3 linked regions of the Elephas maximus indicus genome follow. The protein of the gene in region 2 binds, or shares a complex with, the protein of the main gene of each other region. Links are inferred from orthologs where the notes say so. Each region holds a gene or a part of one and is shown on either strand. Other genes may lie near its edges. The genes, in order: USP46, WDR48 and USP12.

Region 1 (7,060 bases), on a different chromosome or scaffold from region 2:
TGATCAGTAAGAGCCTCAGGGAAGAGTTAAACTGGGAGGACCCCATAAAAGACCTACCTGGAAACAATTCATCAAGTGAAAATTTTAAAGGAGTCCAATGAATATTTCCATCTGATCAGGTAGAAAGACAACAGTCTTTCCATCTGATCAGGTAGAAAGACAGCAGTCTCCTCATCACCAAGCCTTCCTCTCTGGGAAGTGAGACTGAGAGGGGCAGGGGTGGCCTGAGCAGCCTCATAAGGAGCAGGGTTAGGGCTTCCCACCCCAGCCCTTTGTTTACACTGCCACTCAGCTTGGTTTGCATAAATGAAAACATGGGTTGTTTATACTAGTAGCTCCACTCTCCCTTAGAAAATTGGAAGGTGAGACAACAATGAGGAAGATGACATTGACAATAACAGCAAACTGCAGAAATGAGTTGCTGAGGTACAGGGCCTAGTACACTGCAAGTCTTTGCTGTTACTGTCAATTTTATACTCACATATAAAACAGTAACCATGATCAACCCCATTTTACAGATAAGGAAACTAAGAGAATAACCTGTTCAAGGACACAAAGCTGGCGTAAGTAGAACCAGAGCATGAACCAAGGAAAGCTGACTCCAGGGCCCAAACTCTTCGTCACGTGCTCAAAACAGTGGCTAAATTAGAACGTAAAAACTCCCTTCTTATGAATTACTGGTTCCACACTTTACCTGGGTGATGATGCTAACTTTGGCACCTTTTGAGGTCTCCACGTTACGCGGCAACTCTCCAGCGGACAAATGTTGGGCCTATGGTAGTACTGGCCTACTCCTCTTGTGTCCTCCCTGGCTGAGGCTTTGAGCCTCGAGTTTTATTGGAAACGGGTTGTGACATTCTGCCCAGATGTGCCAAGAAGACCCAGCTGCACTGAGGACAAAAAAAAAACAAAACTGGAGGGTGGCTTCCTTTTGGGGCATGCTAGCTTTCAAGTTTCCATCCTGCTTCAGGGCAGAGAAGAGTCACCACACCACTGCGCTGGGACGGTGCCTGCCTACCCTGTAGGCCTGAGGCCACCCCAACAGTCGCATGAGAGCATGTACAAGCCGCTCTGGTTTCACAGTTCCCTTCAGGATCGTAGCAGAGAAAAATCCCTAAGAAAGACATCACCTTTTCACTATACCAAGCAACATTAATGCTGCTCAACAGGAAGGACCAGGACCCGTCTCCGCATGGAGAAGGAAGGGAGAGAAAGCGAAAAGACTCTGAAAGCCACCCACCACATCTACTCTCCCTGTGCCAGCACCTTGGCAGCTATCACTTGGATAAGACTCAGTATTTGCTCTGCTGGCCACGATAGTGGCCACGACCAACAAGGCTGAAAATTGAAGCCAGCATCAGTGGGTCTCAATTCCATCCCTGAGCTAACACATGCTTCTCTAAGGCTCCCATGCCATGTGTTGATCTTGCAACAGAATGTGAAACAGAAGACTTAAAAGCTGTGTGATGGGGGAAGGGCAGCCAGATCACCTTACCCCCAAGGCTCCTCAGGCAAGCTCCTCCGATTCTCTTTAGGGGCCTGTACTACTAGCTTCAAGGGAGTTTCTCCCAAAAGTGGAGTTAAAACAGCATGTGTCTTAGGGGACACTGAGCTTCTGTTAAGGATGATGGAAAATTTGGGGCACGGTTAATGCTGATGGTTGGCCTACATGAATGTATTTCATGCCACTGAACTGGACACATGAAGACTGTTGAAATGGAAAATGTTGTCTATATATTTACCACAATTAGAAAAAAAAAAAAAGCACATGTCCCAGGTGGGGGAGGAGGGGGGCCGACGTCAGGGTTAGGGGAGAGCCTTGAGGGTGAAGGCAAAGCACACACCCCGCACCCTGCACAGGAGGGCAATGCCTCACTCCAAGGGTCAAGCAGCACTCCCAAAGGCTCTGACAAGTGGTGCCAGCAAAATGCACCCTTGGGACCCAAAGGCGGGATGATGTTCTTGCAGAAACTGAAAGGAAGGGAAACCGATGGGAGAAACACAAAGCGACCACTTCGTTATGGACCTGAACCCATCAGAGCCCCAAGTGATGTCCCTTTGCTTTGCTGAGTCCACGCCCACCAGGCACCACTGGGTCTACACTGGAGCAGGCAGGAGGACCCTGCAGACCTCCTTCTCCACACCCACAGCCACCCCCACCCTGAGGGCGTCCAACCTTCTTTCACTCATGGAGAAACTGAGGCAGCCAGAACAAATCACCAAGCTTTCCCAAATCAGGTTGAAGTTCACTTCCCTAACCACAATTTTGCACTTTTTTACAGCTTTATTACACTGCAAATTTCTCCGGATAAACTGATTGCCGCTGCAAAGCGAATTTTAAATACAGTCTAACGCCGGAACTCAAAATGAGAGGAGGGCGGCCAGGAAGCCCAGCAGGAATTTAATGCAAAGACAGGATGGGTGCCCTCCACCCCAACCCCTGCTTATCCCCCAACCCTCTCCCGCGGGACGTCCGGGTTCCTCCTCCCCACCCCGCCAACCCGTTTCCACCGCAACCCGAGGGCTGGGGCCCGGCAGCGCCGGCTGGCTCCGGGGTCCCAGGTCTGAGAATGCGGCAGGGGGCTCCGGCCGCTGCTGGGGCCGCTCCTGGGGCCGCTCCTGGGGCCGCTCCTGGGGCCGCTCCTGGGGCCGCTCCTGGGGCCGCTCCTGGGGCCGCTCCTGGGGCCGCTCCTGGGGCCGCTCCTGGGGCCGCTCCTGGGGCCGCGGCCGACCCGCCCAGCCCCGGGGCCGGGAACTTCTCTCCGAAGCTCAACAGACCGGACCCACCGCCCTCGCCCCCCACTCCACCGCCCCCCGCCGCCGGACGCGTGTGCAGCTCGGGTTTCCCTTTCTTCGCCTCCCCCGCGCCTCGGGCGCGACCCCCGAGGCTGTGGCCACTCACCATATTACAGATGGAGGCGATGTTTCGGACAGTCATTAGTCTAAAGGTTGCAGCGATCCCGCACCGCCATCTTTATAAGGTGAAAACAGGACTGTCCATGGTGGAGCGCTCGCAGGAGGGCGGCGAGGCGGCGGCAGAAGGCGGCCTGGGGTCCGGCTCTCAGTTTGGCTGGGAGAGGGAGGCCGGGAGGGGGAGGAGGCGGCGGGAGGCGGCGGGGGCGGGGAGGAGAGCGCAGGGGGAAGGCGGGGAGTGGCGGAGCGAGGGAGCCTGGGCCGTGGCCGGCGGCGCCGAGAGGAGGGGCGGCCCGAGCGTGCCCGCCGCGTGGAGTCTGCTGGCCGCTCCGAGCGCCCCGGCCGCGCGCCCGGCCCGGCGTCTCCCGCCTCCTCTGCCCGCGCGCCCGGCCGCCGAGGTTCGGTGTCTTCCTTTTTATTTCCTGCTTCGCTATTTGGGCTGTAATGCGGGCCCGGGCCCTGGCTCGCGCGGCTGCAGGAGCTGCGCCTCGGGTCCCCCGGGCCCACCCCGACGCAGCAGCGCTTCCTCGGTCCTCTGGGTCGTGGCGGAGGCGGCGGACCATCAGCTGGGACCTGCGCCGCTGCTGGGAGAGAAGGGGCAGCGCCAGGCGTTGGGCGCAGGAGGGAGAGGCGGGCGCCCTGAGCCCAGGCTGGCAGGCTAGGGGGCCGTTTTCCGTCGTCACTTTTCCTTGCCTTTCCTCCCGACCCCCAACAGCCCCGCATTTTTATTTTTGACGAGTGGAGAAGGCGAGGGGTAGGGGTGCTACGTCCAACTTCCCGTTCTTCTCCCGCGTTCTAGCCGAATGGCACCGGCGGGTGCCCAAGAAGTAAAATGGGGTCAGGACATGGGAGTGGTCAGAAAGCCTTGGCCAGCCACGGGCCGGCTGCCTGGGAAAGGGCGCCGAAAAGGGAGAGGAATCTGGGGCTGGGCGGAGGCCAGAAACGGCGCGGCTCAGGCAATTTGTGACATTAGCAGGTACAAAGGAGAAGTCCCAGTTCTGATCATGGGCTGGGAACTGTCAAAACAGCTACTTGAGTCCGGAAAGAATAAGAACAAGATTTTTCCGTATCTTCAAGGAAAACATACCCCCCCTCAGGTGCACCCAACTTCTCTGGATTTTTAGAAAGGAGCCATATGGACTTTTACACGTTTCCTGCCATAAAAGGTCATGGTTTCCAGCTCAAAGCGCCAATCTGTACATCACTTAGCAAATATAGTCATAAGAATTGGAGAAGCACATTTCCAAATGTGTGAAACAATTCTACATACAAGGTTGCAATTCAGTGCCTTCAAAAGGGAAGTTGTAGAAGTGAAATGGGTGATAAATTCTTAAACCCATATACTTAATGACAAATCGAATTAGAAGAGAAATTAATATAATTGAAAATAACCTTTACCTAACCAAGGATAACATACTGAGAAAATATCACCCTATCCTATGTTAGCCATTTAGCATTATCCACATAAGATTTGAGAGCCACAAGCTATGAGTCGGAATCGACTCGACGGCACTGGGTTAGCTCCTAATATAGCAAGAACCTGGGATAGAAATAACTCAACGTGTGGGGAGGGGGAGCCAGGGGGGTATCATTATGGGCCCTATACTTTTGAATGAATTGAAGAAATAACATTTTCTGCTTATTTTAAGTCATTCTGCCTTAACGACTCAATGATAACGATGAAGATAACTTGATTTCTTACCATTATCAATCACCCGTGTTTTATATTCATGGTCTTCAGTCGGCACAATAACTATCAGGTAGTAGACATTATTATCTCCTTTTTGCAGATGAGTAAAATAAGGCTTGAGGGTCAAGTATTCTGTCCAGATCATGTCCCCAGTGAAGCTGGTGTGCTACCCTGGCTGATTACATTGGGGGAGGAGGGGAAGACAGCAAGACCCAAACTATGGCCATGCAGGTAACTGAGGCCAGAAAGGTTTAAAATTTTGAGGAATGTCACAAAACAACTTCAAAACCAAGGTGTTCAACATGGACTAACATCAAGACCAAAAACTCAGGCAGTGAATTACATACACAACAAATCAATTGAACACAGCGTATCTTGTCAGACTCATGAATAATTAAATACATTTTACACTACTACAAGGTTCATATTCACAGTTCTAAATTGGAAGAGGCTTGAGTTGAAAAAGAATAATCACAACCTCAGCTTCACCCAGTGAAGAAATGTTACTTGGAGGTAGTAAGATCTTGAAAAGGTTGACAAATTAATGGAAGAGCTTGGAAGGAAAGTGTTCCACATATAGGGACAAAAAACCCATTGCTGTCGAGTTGATTCCAACTCACAGCGACCCTATAAGACAGAGTACAACTGCCCACATAATCTTTATGAAAGCAGACTGCCATATCTTTCTCCTGCAGAGCAGCTGGTGGGTCCAAAGTGGCAGCCTTTCAGTTAGCAGTCAAGCACTTACCTACTGTGCCACCAGGGCTCCTCTACAGGGAGCAGCTGATATGAAGATATAGAGTGTTAGAACTCGGAAAAGTAGACAAAAGGAAGGATGGGCTATAAGCTGGCACTAAACAGAATAAAGGAGTTTGAGGAGAGAAGACACTCTAACTAGTGTGATTTAGCCCCTTGCTATACCTGGGAGCTTCTTAGAAGCACAGGCTCTCAGGTACCATCGCAGTCCTAATAAATTCTACTGTGTGGTAAGGAAGTTGAAGCAAGTGAGCAGAAAGTGTGAGATGCATGACTCCAGCCAACCAATCACTTTTGGTGGAATTCTGTTTTTGCCAGCCTGCCATCCATTCTGCAGTAACAGCTCCCAAATTCTACTTTGGGGAGCTTTCTCGCCTTTCAGACACTAAGGTTCAGGTGCAGCAGTCCATGAGAGACAAGGGTGAGACCCAGGTTTTTAACTTGAAGAGTAATCCCATGTTTTCAGCTAGTGAACGCTGAAGGAGGAGATTCAGGTGTAGTTGGTTGGGGAGAAGCTCACTCTATTCAGATGAGTTGAGTTTGAGATAACCACGAATTATTTGAATAGTTCTAATAGAAGCCCTTGACTTTACAAGTCTGGGGCTCAGGAGAAAAGTCTAAGTTGGAGATAAGTATCTGAGAATAACTAATATATAGAAGATGATGGAGGATAGGAGATTATAGATGAAATTGCCTAGACAGAGAGCACAGAGTGAAAATAGACAAGGGACTATGATAAGATCATGAAGACCTCCACCATGCAAGGATCAGGTGGAGGAAGATGAGCCAAAGAAAATTAAGCCCAAGCCTCCGAAGTGGTTGAAGAAAAGCAAACAAACATGCAACAACACCAAAGTCGAAGAGTATTTCAAGATGGAGCAAGTGGCCAAAATGTATCGAATGCAGCTAAGAGATCAAAGAAGACAATTAATAGTAGTAATGTTTACTTCTTGAATAGAGCTCTAACATGCATTAATACATTTAATACTTGCAATAACCCTATGAAAGAGGTAATATTATAATCCCCATTTTAAAGAAAACTGAAACTTAGAGAGTAACCCACCAAGACTCATGTAAGCATTCTTTCATCAAAGCCTATTACTAAAAGAGTCCTTTCAGTTCTATAATGGGCAGTTTGGGTAGAATGGTTAGGATAGAATATATATTGGAATGGGTTGATAAGTGAAAGGGAAGTAAGAAAACATGTTTGGCTTTGAAGGGAAGGAGAGAAGAAGTAGCAGACAATTGAATAGCTCAAAAATACCTTCAGTGATTGACTCTCTGCCTGGTTTGCAAGCACCTCCCTAATCTGCTCTGCCCCCCCGCCCCCCGCACCCTCTCTGACTCCTAACCAAACAAACACACCACATTCCATGCTTCCAGCCTGCAGGCACACAACTGCCCAGTCCTCAGCCAGTTCTTCTATTTCACATACACTCGGTCCTCAAAGCTCAACTCCAGCCTCACTTCCACAGAAGTCTTCTTAATCTCATCTTCCTTGGTAAATTTGAATCAAGAATCATTTTTTACATATTTTTGAGAAACCTAAAATACCTAACATAATGCTAGGCACCTGCATAGGAGATACTTAGCAGGTAATTATCTTACCTGAAACATTTTACTGAACTGACCAGCACCATTTTATTCACCAGGAGCCCTGGTGGTGCAGTGGTTAAGAGTTCAGCTGCTAACCAAAAGGTT
Region 2 (7,174 bases):
ATATCCCATATTTTAAACAAACAAACCCAAACAACCAAATCGGCTGCCACTGAGACGATTCCAGGTGTTTTAGGGCGGAATCACTTTCTGTAGGATTTTCAGTGGCTGTGACCTTTCAGAAGTAGACCACCAGGACATTCTTCCAAGGTGCCCCGGGGGGGTTCTAACTGCCAACCTTCCTTAGTAGCCCAGTACTAAACCTTCTGCACCACACAGAGACTCCGTTTCCTGTCCTACCCGTAATCACACAATCCAATCCCCCAGTGGTAACTGACAGTCAGTATCCTTCCAGGCTTTTAAAATGCAGTATTTCCTTTGTGGAAATGGGTTCGTACTATACTGACTTGCTTTTTTGACTTCTGGGCACCTTTCCTTCTTAATAGGTACATACCTAGCTTATCTCTTCAACAGCTGTGTCTTGACATGTTACCATAATCTGTCAATTCTCCACTGATGGACACTTAAATTTTTTTCACTTTCTCACACTGATAAGATTCCTACAATAAACACCCTTGCACAAGTAGAGAAAGGTATACACACATGTATCTCTGCAGAAGAGGTTTTCAGAAGAGAAATTACTGGGCAATGGTAACGTACATTTATAACTCTGACGCAGAATAGCAGGCACGATGGCTCCATTTATAGTGAAAAATCCTGTATGTCAGGTACACAAAGAGGTAAAGAACAGTGATTCTCAATCAGGGTAATTTGGACTGCCAGGGGACATCTGAAAATGTCTGGAGACATTTTTGGTTGTCCCAAGTGTGGGGGTGCTACTAGCATTGCGCAGAGGCCAAGGATGATGGTAAATATCCTACAACGTACAGGACAGTTTCCCACTACAAAAAAGGATCCGGCCCAAGATGTCAGTAATACTCATGCTGAGAAATCCTAGTTTAGAATCATATATCGCATTACTCATGGTAGCTTTCTTTGAGTGGAGGGCAGCTATCGTTTATACCTTTTTTATTATTTGTAGGTTTCTTGCAATGCACGTGCACTAGTTTTAAAAACACTTCTCAGAACAAACAAAAATTCTCTCTCAGGTAGAGATAAAATATCAATCTCTGTGGCTTCTCACACTGCTTTTATACATTGTGGACAAGCTCTGAAAGCAGCTGACAAGGCCCCCGAATCTTCTCTTCTGCAGGCTAATCTTAGTTTCAAGTCAGTTCACCAATCTGGTTACTATACTTATTGAGAACAAGGTGCTCAATTCTCAGCCCCAAACGCTAGGTCTGTACTCTGACAAGCAGTCTGGAACTATCACCTCCCTCATTCTACCTGTGTGGGCTCACACTGGGATTAAAACAGTTTTCCACCTGTACGGCAGTTAACTTAAGTCTTTCACATCTTGACTTTCACAGTTGCCTCCTACATCTAAACGAAGGGCACTAAGAGGCCTCTTTAACAACCCTTACTCCCCTATGGAGTGTACCATTCCAGTATCTGGAAGAGCACCACCATCTATTGGTTCCTCCAGTCGTCAAGCCTTTCTCTCCATTCCAAACCCAAACCAAACCCAGTGCCATCGAGTCGATTCCGACTCATAGCGACCCTATAGGACAAAGTAGAATTGCCCCATAGAGTTTCCAAGGAGTGCCTGGCAGATTTGAATTGCCAGCCCTTTGGTTAGCAGCCATAGCACTTAACCACTACGCCACCAGGGTTTCCTTCTCTTGATTAGTGTTGCCTAAATACTTAACCACCTAGATTCCCTGGGAAAAATCATCTGGTCAATTACATACCACGACTTCAGGCTGTCCAGTTGCAACACAATTAAGTTACAATTCTGGGTTACATTTTAGTTGGGAGGAGACAGTGTCACCACCTACGATCACCTTACACCGTGATTTCAGGGGATTTAGATTCTTAGTAATTTCACTCAATTCAACAAATATCCAATGAGTACTTTAGACACCGTCCTGATCAAAGAGATCAATAAAACAAAGAGTGGAACTGCCTCAGAAAACTTTATGCCTCACACCCTTTTCCTGGGGTTACCTTACTGCAGGCACCTTTTGTCCTGACTATTAAACACCCACTGATTTCAACCTGCAGAACGACATATCATGGTGGGTTTTGTCAAGAAAGCCTGGGTCTTACTCCTACATTTTCTCAAACCTTTGCATACTTCTGAATTCAAATTAAGTGCTGGACAAATAGTTAACGTACCATGTCGCCACTACTGCATACACTATACCTGCAGGCAAACACCTGAAATAGGTCTTCTATTATTCCCTGCATTGCTGGAAAAAATAGCAAGAACTCTTACGCTTACCCAAAATAAAAACGAATTCACGAAGGCATAAAGCATACGCAGAATGATTAGATAATTCTTTCACCTTGGATAATAAATCATAAAAATAGAAAAGAAAGATTCAGGGATGTACGATGAAGATGAAGAAACGCTGAAAACGAAATTAAACCGGCATTTCCCCACCAACACCCGGCCGGCCGCTGCCCCTCACTGGGAAGCGAGCTCCGGCAGCAGAGGTGGCGGGGCTCCCCGTGCGGACCCCACCGCGGAAGCCGGGGTCGTCGGCGCCCCGCCGCCCGTCACGCCCCGCCGGGTCCCCGCGCTCGCCGCCCGCCCGCCCACCGGGAAGCCCCGCAGGCCTCGGCCAGAGCGCCTCGGGGAAGGCAGGGCAGGGGAGGCGGCTGGCCAGGGGACGCGCCCACCGCCTCGCGGGCCCGATCCTCCGGGAGAAGGGGCGACCGGCCGCCCCGGGTTCCAGGGCGCGCGCCCCGGGGGCCCCGAGTCTGCGTCCGCGCCGCCCCCGCCCCTTCCTCAAGCCGTTAGCGCCGCGGCCCCACCTCTCACCGCCGCTCGCCCGGGCCCGCGCGCCCCGCCCCGCTCCCCGCCGGCCGCGGCCTGAGGCATCTGCTGGCGGGAGGCGGCCCCGGGCCGGGCAGTCGGGTCCGAGAGGCCGAGGACCCGGGCTCCCATACCTGCACTTTCCGCCGCCCGGCCGTGTTCTGCCGGTGATGGGCCGCCATCTTGCATGTTGACACTCCGACGTCACTTCCGGAAATGGCGCGGGCCGAGCGGATGTCCTGCCCCTTCCCCTCGGGCGGGGGTTGGTGGCGGCGGCTGTGCGTGCGGCGGCGGCGGCCGTGCGTGCGGCGGCGGCTGTGCGTGAGGCGGCGGCGGAAGGGCGCGCGGCGGCGGCGGCCGTGCGTGCGGCGGCGGCGGCCGTGCGTGCGGCGGCGGCGGCCGTGCGTGCGGCGGCGGCGGCCGTGCGTGCGGCGGCGGCGGCCGTGCGTGCGGCGGCGGCGGCCGTGCGTGCGGCGGCGGCGGCCGTGCGTGCGGCGGCGGCGGCCGTGCGTGCGGCGGCGGCGGCCGTGCGTGCGGCGGCGGCGGCGGCGGCGGCCGTGCGTGAGGCGGCGGCGGCCGTGCGTGAGGCGGCGGCGGCGGCTCCGCGCCGTGGCCGGGCTCGGGGCGCGCGGCGGTCTCGTGGAAGCAGAGCCTTCCTGTGGGCACAGCGCCGGCGGAGGACCACCCGCTTCTCCGAGCCGAGGCAGCAAGCGCATTCCGCCGTGGGGCCCCACACCCCGGCTTGCACGCTCCCTGGGGCGGTCCTCGGGCAGAGCGCTGAGGCCAGGTAGGGGGCGAGACTCCTCGGCAGCCAGGGAGCCGACTGCTTGGCCGCGAAGGAGGCACCTAGACGTTCGCAGAACAACGACCTGGCCTGGGAGGAGAGAAGCGGCCGCCCTTGGGAAGGAGGCAGGCCGGTCTTCAGGCGAACAGGCGTCCCGTCCCACAAAGGAGAGAAAAGGCGCCCCAGGGACGTCTGCAGAGCCCGAGGGAGCCGGGGCCGGCTCTGGAACCTCGTCCCGGTCACCTCTTCTGGGTCAAAGTGTAGCTTCAGGTCTTCCGGACACCGATGACAGGTGCCGAGGGTGGCGGAGCTCTCTCTCGGAAAGTGGACCCCGTGGAACTGCTCCGTCCACTGAGTTCCGTGCGGGCTCCGCCAGGCGCGTGTGGCCAGCTCACTGAGACGTGATGTAACTCAAGTACACACTCAATTTTGAAGACAATGCAAAAGAAGAATGTGAAATACCTCTTTCATAATTTTTTATATTGATCACGTGTTGAAATATTAATTTCTATATATTGGGTTAAATAGCATGTGTTACTAAAATTTTTTACATTTGTAAATGTGACTATTGGGTCGCTATGAGTCGGAATTGACTGAATGGCGGTGTTTTTTTTTTAATTTTTTGACTAGAGTGTTTAAAATAACACGTGGCTCATGTTATATTTTTGTTGCAGAACCTGTTGCCATTGAGTCTGTTCTCATAGTGGCTCTATAGACAGGGTAGAACTGCCCTATGAGGTTTCCAAGGCTGTAATATTGGACTAAGTGACCCCATCAGGCAGCATGTCTTAATGTTTACTTTGCCTGGAAGGCGAGACGGCCTTCATGGTCAGTTCAGGTTCAGAGGCTAAATTGGCCAGTTGTTCAAGAACAGGGTAGAAGTGCCCATAGGGTTTTTAAGGCTGTAGTCTTTATGGTCCCTGGAGCTGCTGGTGGCTTTGAACTGCTGACTTTTCAGTAAACAGTCAAATGCTTAATCACTGTGCCACCAGGACTTCTTCTCTATTGCATAGTGCTAATGTATAAATAATGCTTAGGGAACCTCCTGGCAAATGCCTTTTTAAAAAATCGGTAAAGAAATCTGAATTAGAGGAGCAGAAACTGATGACAGAAAGCCTGTTAGGCAAAATTGGCGGTGATAACTTGTAGATAAATTACATGGACTGCATTTTATTACAGACTCATTGATTCATTTATCCATGTATACATTCAAAACATTTATTAGCATCTATTAAGTGCCCAGCCCTGTATTTGGTGCTGGGGGTTCAGTGGTGAGTGCACATTAGCCATAGGACTTAGAGTTCCATGGTGAGACAGGGATTAATTAAACAAACGTATAAATGAATGTGGAGATAAGTACTGAAGAAAGAGCTGTACAGCAGGAAGGGATCCTTGAGCCAGGATCTAAAGGCTGTAGTTCACTAGACAAGGAGAGGGAACAGTCTGAGCAAAGATCTTGTGGCAGAAGGGAGCATGGAACATTTCAAGAACTAAAGGCCAAGTCTTGGAGTACAGAGAGCAACCAAGGGGAAAAAACAAAAACACCCAAACCCTTACTACTTGGAGTTGATTCAAACTTACAGTGACCCCATGTGTGTCAGAGTAGAACTGCTCTCGGTAGGGTTTTCAATGGCTGTAATTTTATGGAGTAGATTGCCAGGCCTTCACTCTGTGGTTGCTGGGCAGATCAAAGAGGAGCACAGAGACCACACCCAGCAGGGTCTTCTAAGCCAATGGGAAGCTGTTGAAAGGACTTAAGAGGGGAGGGACATGATCTGCATTTTTTTTTCTTAATAAAAATGTATTGAGTAGCCATGATATGCCAGGCACTGTGCAGGTACATTACTCTCCACAACGTGCTGGTACCTGTTGGAAATGGATTCCTGTGTTGTTGTAGCCCCCCCGCCCCGCCCCTTGGGGCTGGCCCTGAAGAACACTGAAGTTGTAAAATTGTTTTAATGGGCAGAATGTCCAGGAGTGTATCTTGATGTTCACTTTGCCTGGAAGGAGAGATGGCCTTGGGTAGTAATTCACAGTCAATTCATGGACAGAGGCTAAATCATTTGGCCAGCTGTTCAAGGACACGGAAGAACAAGCATGACAAACTGGTGACAAGGAAGACTTGGGAAAGTATATGGTAACTGGCCTCTTAGAATGAACCTTAAGAGCTGTACAGATGAAACAAACTGCTCTGAGGATGAAACTTGGCTTCCTTCAGGATCAGTGCTTACTCAGTGGAATCATGAACAAAATGGCGATGCTATCAGGACTGAAAGCTATGCATGGGATCATCAAGCCATTGCTGAGTGTTCAAGTTGCCAACAGCAGTGACCAGTCCCGAGTTGCTGGTTTACCCCATAGCCTTGAAGGGTGAGCCAGCCACTCGGGGGGCAAGTTGATTCCATTGGCCCTCCCTCATCATTGAGGAAGTAGCTATCTGTCCTCTCCAGGTGACACTTAACTCTAGATTTTTCCATTGGCCCTCTATCATTGTTGAGGAAGTAGCTATCTGTCCGCTCTGAGTGACGCTTACGCTAGATTTTGATTTCCTTCCCATGCTCCCTGTACTTCTAGCAGCACCTGAAATACATCTACTTAACACTGAGATGTGCTGTAACTGTAAAATACTCCTGAATGTTGAAGACTTAGTATAAAAATAAGAATGTAACATGTCGATAATCTTTATATTGATTACATGTTAAAATGACAACATTTTCTATTTATTGGGCTCTGTATCGCCATCTGGGTGTTTACTAAATGATTTATACACTGTCATAATATCTGATATATTGCATCTGACCGAGAAATTCACTCTACGGTGAAAGAAGTAATGCAATGGACTCTTGCCCATGCGATTCTTTGGTCTGATTATGTGCTCTATCACCCACGTGTCTGTCAGTTTGTCATACTGTGGGGGCTTGTGTGTTGCTGTGACACTGGAAGTTATGCCCCTGGTATTCAGATACTAGCAGGGTCACTCGTGGAGGACAGGTTTCAGCTGAGCTTCCAGCTTAAGACACTACGAAGAAGGACCTGGCAGTCTACTTCTGAAAACCATTAGCCAGTGAAAACCTTATGAATAGCAGCAGAACATTGTCTGATACAGTGCTGGAAGATGAGCCCCCCAGGTTGGAAGGCACTCAAAAGATGACTGGGGAAGAGCTGCCTCCTCAAAGTAGAGTCAGCCTTAATGACGTGGATGGAATAAAGCTTTCGGGACCTTCATATGCTGATGTGGCAAGACTCAAAATGAGAAGAAACAGCTGCAAACATTCATTAATAATCAGAACCTGGAATGTACGAAGTATGAATCTAGGAAAATTGGAAATTGTCAAAAATGAAATGGAATGCATAAACATCGATACCCTAGGCGTTAGTGAGCTGAAATGGACTGGTATTGGCCATTTTGAATCGGACAATCACATAGTCTACTATGCTGGGGATGACAACTCGAACAGGAATAGTGTTGCATTCATCGTCAAAAAGAGCGTTTCAAAATCTATCCTGAAGTACAACGCTGTCAGTGATAGGATAATATCTGTACGCCTACAAGGAAGACCAGTTAATATGAC
Region 3 (7,490 bases), on a different chromosome or scaffold from region 2:
TTCTCTCTGTGCCTTGGTTTTCTCATCTATAACATGGGGATAATAATAGTATCTACTTCCTTGGGTTATTTGAGGAGTCAGGAGTTAATACACATAAAGTGCTTAGTGGCACAGATAAGGTCTCAATAAGTGCCAACTCATTAGGGATGCCTTCTGTTCTTGACAGGTGCTGTAGAGTCAATTCCGACTCCTGGTGACCCCATGTGACAGAGTAGAACTGCTCCACAGGGTTTCCTAGACTGTAATCTTTACAGAAGCAGATTGCCAGGCCTTTTTCCCACTGAGCTGCCGGTGGGTTCGAATTGTAGACCTAAGCAGCCTAGTGCTTAACTGTTGTGCCACTAGGGCTCTTTTATGGATGTTTCACATCCCCCTTGTACCCCCCTTCCCACCATCATCACAGGTAAAAGGAGAGGTGGCAGAAATGTATGAAGTAGCCCGTGGCAAGCTGGAGACAAGACGAGTAAAGGAAAATAAGGAGTTTGTGAGGAACTGGGAAGTGCATGATTTTGTAAAGGTATTTCAAACAAAAACTTGTTAAATACACTGTGCTGACCACCCAGATTAAGCTTAGCCCTAGTCTGTTCACGTGCTGGGTCCCTGAAGGCTTTGGCATATTTTATAGTTTACACATTCTGGCAGGCTTGCTGGTCAGTCACACACATCCGCCTTAGGCAAAAGGGGGCTCTTTGTAAAGTTGATACAGTTGCCCGTAAAAACTGTGTTCCACCAACTGCTCTGACAGGTATCACAATAGAGGGTTCTGGACAGAGCAGGAGACAAATGTAGAACAAAATCCAAATTCACAAAAATATGCCAGACCAGACTGACAGAGCCTGGTGGACACCCCGAGAATATGGCCCCTGGACACCCCGTTAACTCAGAACTGAAGCCACTCCTGAAGTCCACCTTTCAGCCTAGGATTAGACAGGTCTATAAAACAAAAACAAAAAAAAAATTTTTTTTTTTTTTTTTATAAAACAAACAACATGCCTGAGGAACATGCTTCTTAGCCCTAAAGCATAATAAAATTAAAAAACGAAATTGCCAAATCTAAAAAAAAAAAAAACACAAAAAACCCTGAGTTCTAGGCCCAGATTAAGTGTCCTGATTGCGCAGATGGTTAACACTTGGCTGCTAACCAAAAGGTTGGTGGTTTGAACCCACCCAGTGGCTCTGCAGGAGAAAGGCCTCGTGATGTGCTTCCATATAGATTGTTGTTGTTGTTAGGTGCCATCGATGTGAGGTGCCGTTGAGTGGGTTTCGACACATAGCGACCCTATGTACAACAGAGTAAAACGATGCCTGGTCCTGCCATCCTCACAATCATTTCATTGCTGCGTTCAAGCCCATTGTTGCTGCCATTGTGTCAATTCATCTTGTTGAGGGTCCACCACCATCAGTCAGTGTGTTGTATAGTGGTGGCTTGTGTGTTGCTTGGATGCTGGAAGCTATGCCACCGGTATTTCAAATACCAGCAGGTGCACCCATGGTGGACAGGTTTCATTGGAGCTTCTAGACTAAGACAGACTAGGAAGAAGGATCTGGCGATTTAACTTCTGAAAAAAAAATTAGCCAGTGGAAACCTTATGGATAGTATAGATCACAACCTAGAAAACCCTATGGGGCAGTTCTACTCTGTCACATGAAGTTGGTATGAGTCGAAATCGACCCAATGGCACCCAACAACAACGGTGTGTGCCAAGTGTGGAGTTTCAGCCAAATCTTATCCTCAACTGCATTATAGATAGTGAAAACCACCCTGTACAGCACCTGGCAAATAGTAGGATCTCTCCGTTTGTGCCTCTCCACTCAACCTTAGGCTAGGAGACAGGTCATTGTGAGGTTCTGCAGTCAGGGTCTATGACATCACTTGCACATTTAGATGGATGTAACACCTACTAGGCATGCCTCCAGATGATTCTATCAGAAGTCAATTTAAAAAAGGCCTGTTTTCATATAAACTTATGTATAAAGTTGGACCAAGGAGGCCTCCATTCTTGTCACATTTTAGGATTTACAGGCAACTAAGCACGTGGGTGGGCAGCATAGATGGAGGCGTGGCTAAGCCTCTGGCACATTAGATCTGCTCCCTGGAACAGAAGGAGTCCCTGGGTGGTACACATGGTTAAAACCGTTAACGTGCTTAGCTGCTAACCTGAAAAGCTGGTGGTTTGAACCCACCCAGAGGCACCTTATAGGAGCTTTGGTGCAAAGTGGTTAAGCGCTTGGTTGCTAAGCAAAAAGTTGGTGGTTGGAACCTACCAGCTGCTCCACGGGACAAAGATGTGGCAGTCTGCTTTTGTAAATATTATAGCCTTGGAAACCCTATGGGGCAGTTCTGCTCTGTTCTACAGGGTCACTCTGAGTCGGAATCAACTTCGCAGCAGCAGGTTTAGAGACACCTTGGAAAAAAGGCCCGCTGGTCTGGTTTGAAAAAATTGGCCATTAAAAACCCTGTGGAGAATGGACACAGGAAATACAGGTTGGAAAGGAGGAGTGTGCTGTCACATTATAGGGAGAGCAACCAGGGTCACGTAACAACGTGTGTATAAATTTTTGTATGAGAAACTAACTGAACTGTAAACTTTCATTTAAAACACAATAAAAACAAAACAAAAAAATCCTGTGGCATGCGGTTCTATTCAACACACATGGGTTTGCCATGAGTCGGAGTCAAGTCGACAGTAAGTTTCTTTTTCCTGGAAGAGAACACAAAGTAGAAAGGATAGGATGCCATGGGCATTTATTAAGATGGGCAAGACGAACAGGCTCCAGAGGCATGGCAACGTCAAAGGGGCCCACGCAAGCCCCTGGGATTTAAGGAGTTTTTAGTCCTTGTACAAACGGGGTGGAACACAGTGAAGAATTCAGATGGGTTGTCAGGAGGCTAGCAGGAAAATAGAGACTATGGCAATTAGTTTTAAATTGGTGAATGATCTCTCACGGCTGGCGATGGAAACTGCAGTGGGCTATGGAAACTGCTCATTAGCGCCTCTCCTCAAGCGATGCCCAGTCATGCACCCTACCTGCCATGCCTTAGGTACCCCTCTGGAACAGAGCCCTACCTAAGCTCTGGCTTGGGTGTCAGCAAAGAGGAAGGGCCCCAGCTTCCATGGAGGCAGGCACCTGGAGAACCAGGCTGGTTACTATGGGACTTGGCTATATTCAAACCGAAAAATATTCCCCCAAACAAGCTTATAACGGAAATCCCTATGGAAACTGCATTTGTGTAGCAAATGTATCTTTTTCAACTAAATGTTGTTTGGCTGCTTTATTTGCTTTTTGAATACTTTTAACCTGTGATGTAAGGAATACCTGATTTTAGAGCTTTGTCTAAATTCAGTCCCTCTGCCCCACTGAAAAGGGGGAATCCCCCAGGAAAGCACCCCAGCACTCTAGTTTGCCAACCGAAAAACACCACCAGCTTCCTAATATAATAAAGTTATTCTACTCATTTGAACTGCTTTCTGAAATAGGAAGAAGTAAAGCTGAGCTGCCTGACATGAAAAGCAGGGTGCAAGTATGAATTTTGTAAAAATAGAAAAGAGGAAATATCCCACCCTCACAGGACATTTTTCTCACTTGCTGGCCTTACTGCATCATTCTCGCTGCTGGGTTGAGATCTTTCTTTTTTTGCAGTTCCTGTTGTCTAGAACAAATATATTTAGATACTGTATTTATAAACATATCTAAATTCAAGGCTAACGGGAGCCAGGAAGGCAGGCCCTCCCTTCCTCCCCTTTATCTTTTAGTTCAAAGAGCTAGACATAATTTCTCCTTTGCCACTTTCATTTTTGTCTTTCTCTGAGTTATGGGCTGAGGCAACGCGTTCGGGTTTTTTTTGGTTTGACCCAGGTAAATACCCAATATATGTTTTAAAAAAAAAAAACAACCCTTACATTTTGGAAAGTGCTCTGGAGGGTTCATCACCCGGGCTATCCTTACAGAAGCGGGTTTCCCCTCTTCCCACTCTGAGTCACCCAGATAAGCGCCCTGCTCTTCGGTTTCGGGGGCCGGGACGGGCCGCGGTCCTCCCCCTGCAGGGCTTACCCCAGGACCCGCGCCTCGCGCGGCCGGCGCCGGTCTCTAGGACCGCGGGGAGGCGGGGCGGAGTGCGGCGAGGCCCAGACCCCGCCCAGCCCAGGCGCGGGGTGGGGCCGGGCCGGACTTCGCCGCTCGCTCACTCGCTCTGCGGGGTGGGGGCGGGGGCAGGCGGGCAGTGGGCGGGGAGAGCGCGGCGCCGCGGGGGCCGCGCAGCGGAGCAGCCGGGCACTAGGGCCTCGGCGGAGCCGCTCCCGGGAGGGCTGGGCGGGGTGCGCGGCGGGGGCGGCGGCTTCGCGGGCAGGCGCGGGCCCCGAAGCAGCGGCTGCGCCCTGCGCCGGGGAGGAGCCGGGGGCGGGCGGGCGGCCGGCGGCGGGGGCCGGAGCCCGAGGCCGGGAGTGCCTGAGCGCCGGCGGCGGCAGCGGCAGCACAGGCTCGGTCCGTCAGGCCGCGCGGCTCGGGGTCCGCCCGGGGCTGCGGCGAGAGCGGGCGCCCGGCTCCCTCCCCCGCCCGCCGCCGCTGTGATTGGGTGGAAGATGGCGCTGGGCGGATGGAAATCCTAATGACAGTCTCCAAATTCGCCTCCATCTGTACCATGGTAGGTGCGGCGGGCGGCGGCGGCGGCTGCGGGGCCTAGCGCGCTCCTCGCGGCCGGCCGGGCGGGCGGTTGGCCCGGGCGCGGGGGAGGGGAGGCGGCGCCGGCGCGGCGAGCGCGGCTGCGGGCGGCCGATTAGGGCTGCGGCGGCCGCGGGGCGATTAGCGCCGGACGTGGCGAGTGGGCGGGCTCCGGGCTGCTTCCCGCGGGGCGGGCGCGGGGCGAGGGCAGGGGGGCGCGGGCTGGGCGCTGCGGCCGTGCGGCGCGGGCTGGGCCGGTGCGAGGGGCGCCGAGCGCGCGGCCCCATTTTAGGCTGGCCGGGCGCCGTGCGGGGTGGTGTCCCCGTGTGTGTGTGTCCCCGTGTGTGTGTGTGTCCCCGTGTGTGTGTGTGTGTGTCCCCGTGTGTGTGTCGGGGGCGGGGGGTCCCCGGCAGGCAGGCAGGCAGGCGGGCGGGCAGGAAGGGTCTTACTCCTGCCCGGGGAGAGGACGGAAGTCAAGTGCAGATTTTCTCCGCGCGCCGCGGAAGGGGGCGTCCTCCGAGCCACGTTCGGGGGAAAGGGGGTGTGTAGGAAGGTGGAAACTTTAACTAAGTGCCGTTGACGTTTTTTCCATTTTCTACTCTTTCCGAGGAATGAGCTCTCCCGTTCCCAGCCATGTGTCCAGGTGGCAGTCTTGTCTCTGGGAATCCACACGAATCTTGAAGAGCAGCATTTCCTTTCCTGTCATTTGTTTACTTTAATACACCAAACATCTGTGTGTGACTTGAAGTGTTTCTGTGCAGAGAAGGGCTGCAAGGGTTGTTGCGATTGTTTTCTCAGGGCTTTTAGGTGGATTGAAAGGGAAGGGTGTTAATGCCCGTTGAAAGTCCAGAATGAAGCAGAATGTGGTTGTGTTTAAAACTTGGTGTTTCTGTGCTTGGCCGAAAGGACTACAAGTGGTGTGCAAAATGGCACAGAATTTGCTTGGTTAGCTCCCTAGGAACTGACGTCTAGGGATCATAGTTATGAGTCATTCCCCCCAAAAGTTATTCATTGCAACGTGGGCCTTTCCTTCTGTTTCACGTCTCACTAGCCATTTGTATGCATCTGATTGTGCTTAGAGATCCCCAGGCCACTTTGTATCTGAGGTGGTTAATTTTATATATCTTTAAAGAGTGGAGAATCACATAGGAGAGGTGCTTTAAAAGCAGTCTACACTGCACGCTGAGAAACAGTATTAAAAAAAATGACTGAAATCATAATGTGTATTTGGGTAGCATCTGACCTCATATACATTCGTGCCCTGTAAGGTTATAATTGAGTTCAGAAATCCCGAGTTTGGAGAACCGTGCATAGCAGACGGGACAGCTTCCCACTGGCAACATGTGTATCTCATGCCTCTTGGAGTCAAGGCAACTGTGCTGCCAGATGTATAACGGTACAGAACATATATAACCTGTGCTACATGTGTCTTGATAGTCACAATAAACACCCATGCTACTGGCCTATGTGTGTACTGTACTATAGTTTTTATTGTTATTTTAACGTGAACTTTCCCTGCTTACAAATAGAAAGTTTACTGTGTAATAGTGCACACTTCGAATGGTAGGCAGCAGCTTCCAGTCTCCTGTATCGCGCGTCCCCTGAGTGTTGTAGGGTTATCTCTCTTTAGTTTTGAAAACATTATCAGGAAGTGCATCATGGCTCCCAAATGCAGCAAAAGCAATGCTGGTGATAGCAGCAAGAGGCAAAGGAGGACTGTCGATTTGGAAGTGAGACAAAAGGTTGTTAAACAACACCAAGGTGGAAAATCATCAAATGCTATTTCTTGAGAGTTAGGCATGTTTGCACAACGTCCGAAACCCCTAGCGTATTTCACAGAATATATTGTTGATACTAAGCAGCACGTGACAGGGAAGAATGAATCATCGAAGGATCCATTTCCCCAGTTGGATATTTGTTCTTTCTAACAGTGTACATTTTAGAAGAGCATTAGTATTAAAGGGACTGTACCGACATGGTTTTAGAGGATTGTTTGGACCAATTATTTCTAGATATGCTAATTATCTTTTTCTGTTGCAAAAGGACTGTGATAATGAAGTGTTTTAAAGAGAGAAGCTTGCCAAATTGCTGAGCTGCACACATGGTCAGGTCATAGTTCATTGTCAGAGTCTAGTGTTTCCGGAACTTGAGTGATATGTTAGTCTTTACTAATCATTCTTTCATTCACCTACTCAGGTATATATTTAGCATCTATGATTCGGAAATGGGTTTTGGTTAAGTGCAAGAAAAGAAGTCCTGGTGGCACAGTGGTTAAGTGCTAGGCTGCTAACTGAAAGGTTTGCGGTTTGAACCCCCCAGCTGCTCTGCAAGAGAAAGATGTGGCAGTCTGCTTCCATAAAGATTACAGTCTTGGAAAGCCCATGGGGGGCAGCTCTGCTCTGTCCTGTGACAGGTTGCTATGAGTCAGAATTGACACGACAGCAATGGCTGGAGTGCAAGAGGCTTTGGTGAGTGTTGAGGATACAGCAGTACAGCAATGATCAAGGCAAATCCTTCTTTCCTGGTGTTTATATTCTAGTTGAGGGAGGCAGACAGCATTTAAATAAACATCTTGCTAAGTGTGTGCTGTAATCAGATTAGGGCAGGAGGGCACAGAGAGATTTGCCAGGGTGGCACAGAGAGTAAAGCTCCTTCTGGGGCTCCCACCCAGGTGCATTGGTTGCACGTGTGGTGTGTGTGTATTGGCAGATATAGAAATGGCAGTGCCTGGCCAAATGTAGTTTCAAAAGTAGTATTAAAAAGTAGGTGTGTCTGTATTCACGTGGAAACCCCAATGGCGTAGTGGTTAAGAGCTACTATGGCTGCTAACT

The links.
Region 1: the proteins of WDR48 (region 2) and USP46 are in contact, whole or in part, in a crystal structure (PDB 6JLQ), measured with the Homo sapiens proteins. The link is inferred for Elephas maximus indicus from reciprocal best matches to the Homo sapiens genes WDR48 and USP46. Residues at the interface, in NP_065890.1 of Homo sapiens: Arg50, Trp77, Asp118, Tyr119, Lys121, Leu137, Arg139, Ser170, Tyr172, Thr188, Asp211, Asn212, Lys214, Ser230, Gly254, Trp256, Arg272, Ile364, Leu424, Lys425, Gly521; in NP_073743.2 of Homo sapiens: Arg181, Leu183, Asn184, Cys185, Glu186, Thr187, Cys222, Ser223, Glu224, Lys226, Cys232, Cys233, Ser234, Lys235, Gln236, Glu237, Gln239.
Region 3: the proteins of WDR48 (region 2) and USP12 are in contact, whole or in part, in a crystal structure (PDB 5K1C), measured with the Homo sapiens proteins. The link is inferred for Elephas maximus indicus from reciprocal best matches to the Homo sapiens genes WDR48 and USP12. Residues at the interface, in NP_065890.1 of Homo sapiens: Arg50, Trp77, Asp118, Tyr119, Lys121, Leu137, Ser170, Tyr172, Thr188, Asp211, Asn212, Lys214, Ser230, Gly254, Trp256, Arg272, Ile363, Ile364, Leu424, Lys425; in NP_872294.2 of Homo sapiens: Arg185, Leu187, Thr188, Cys189, Glu190, Thr191, Ser227, Lys230, Cys236, Arg237, Ser238, Lys239, Gln240, Glu241, His243.

Annotation. Positions count from the first base shown.
Region 1 is NC_064823.1:109,100,003-109,107,062, reverse strand, and holds the start of USP46 (ubiquitin carboxyl-terminal hydrolase 46), read right to left. Parts: upstream 3,042-7,060; 5' UTR 2,939-3,041; coding exon 2,903-2,938; intron 1-2,902. UniProt on the Homo sapiens protein: Deubiquitinating enzyme that plays a role in behavior, possibly by regulating GABA action. May act by mediating the deubiquitination of GAD1/GAD67.
Region 2 is NC_064845.1:1,148,727-1,155,900, forward strand, and holds the start of WDR48 (WD repeat-containing protein 48), read right to left. Parts: upstream 3,046-7,174; 5' UTR 3,001-3,045; coding exon of another isoform or gene 2,953-3,000; intron 1-2,952. UniProt on the Homo sapiens protein: Regulator of deubiquitinating complexes, which acts as a strong activator of USP1, USP12 and USP46. Enhances the USP1-mediated deubiquitination of FANCD2; USP1 being almost inactive by itself.
Region 3 is NC_064841.1:59,199,106-59,206,595, reverse strand, and holds the start of USP12 (ubiquitin carboxyl-terminal hydrolase 12), read left to right. Parts: upstream 1-4,408; 5' UTR 4,409-4,594; coding exon 4,595-4,642; intron 4,643-7,490. UniProt on the Homo sapiens protein: Deubiquitinating enzyme that plays various roles in the regulation of the immune response and inflammation.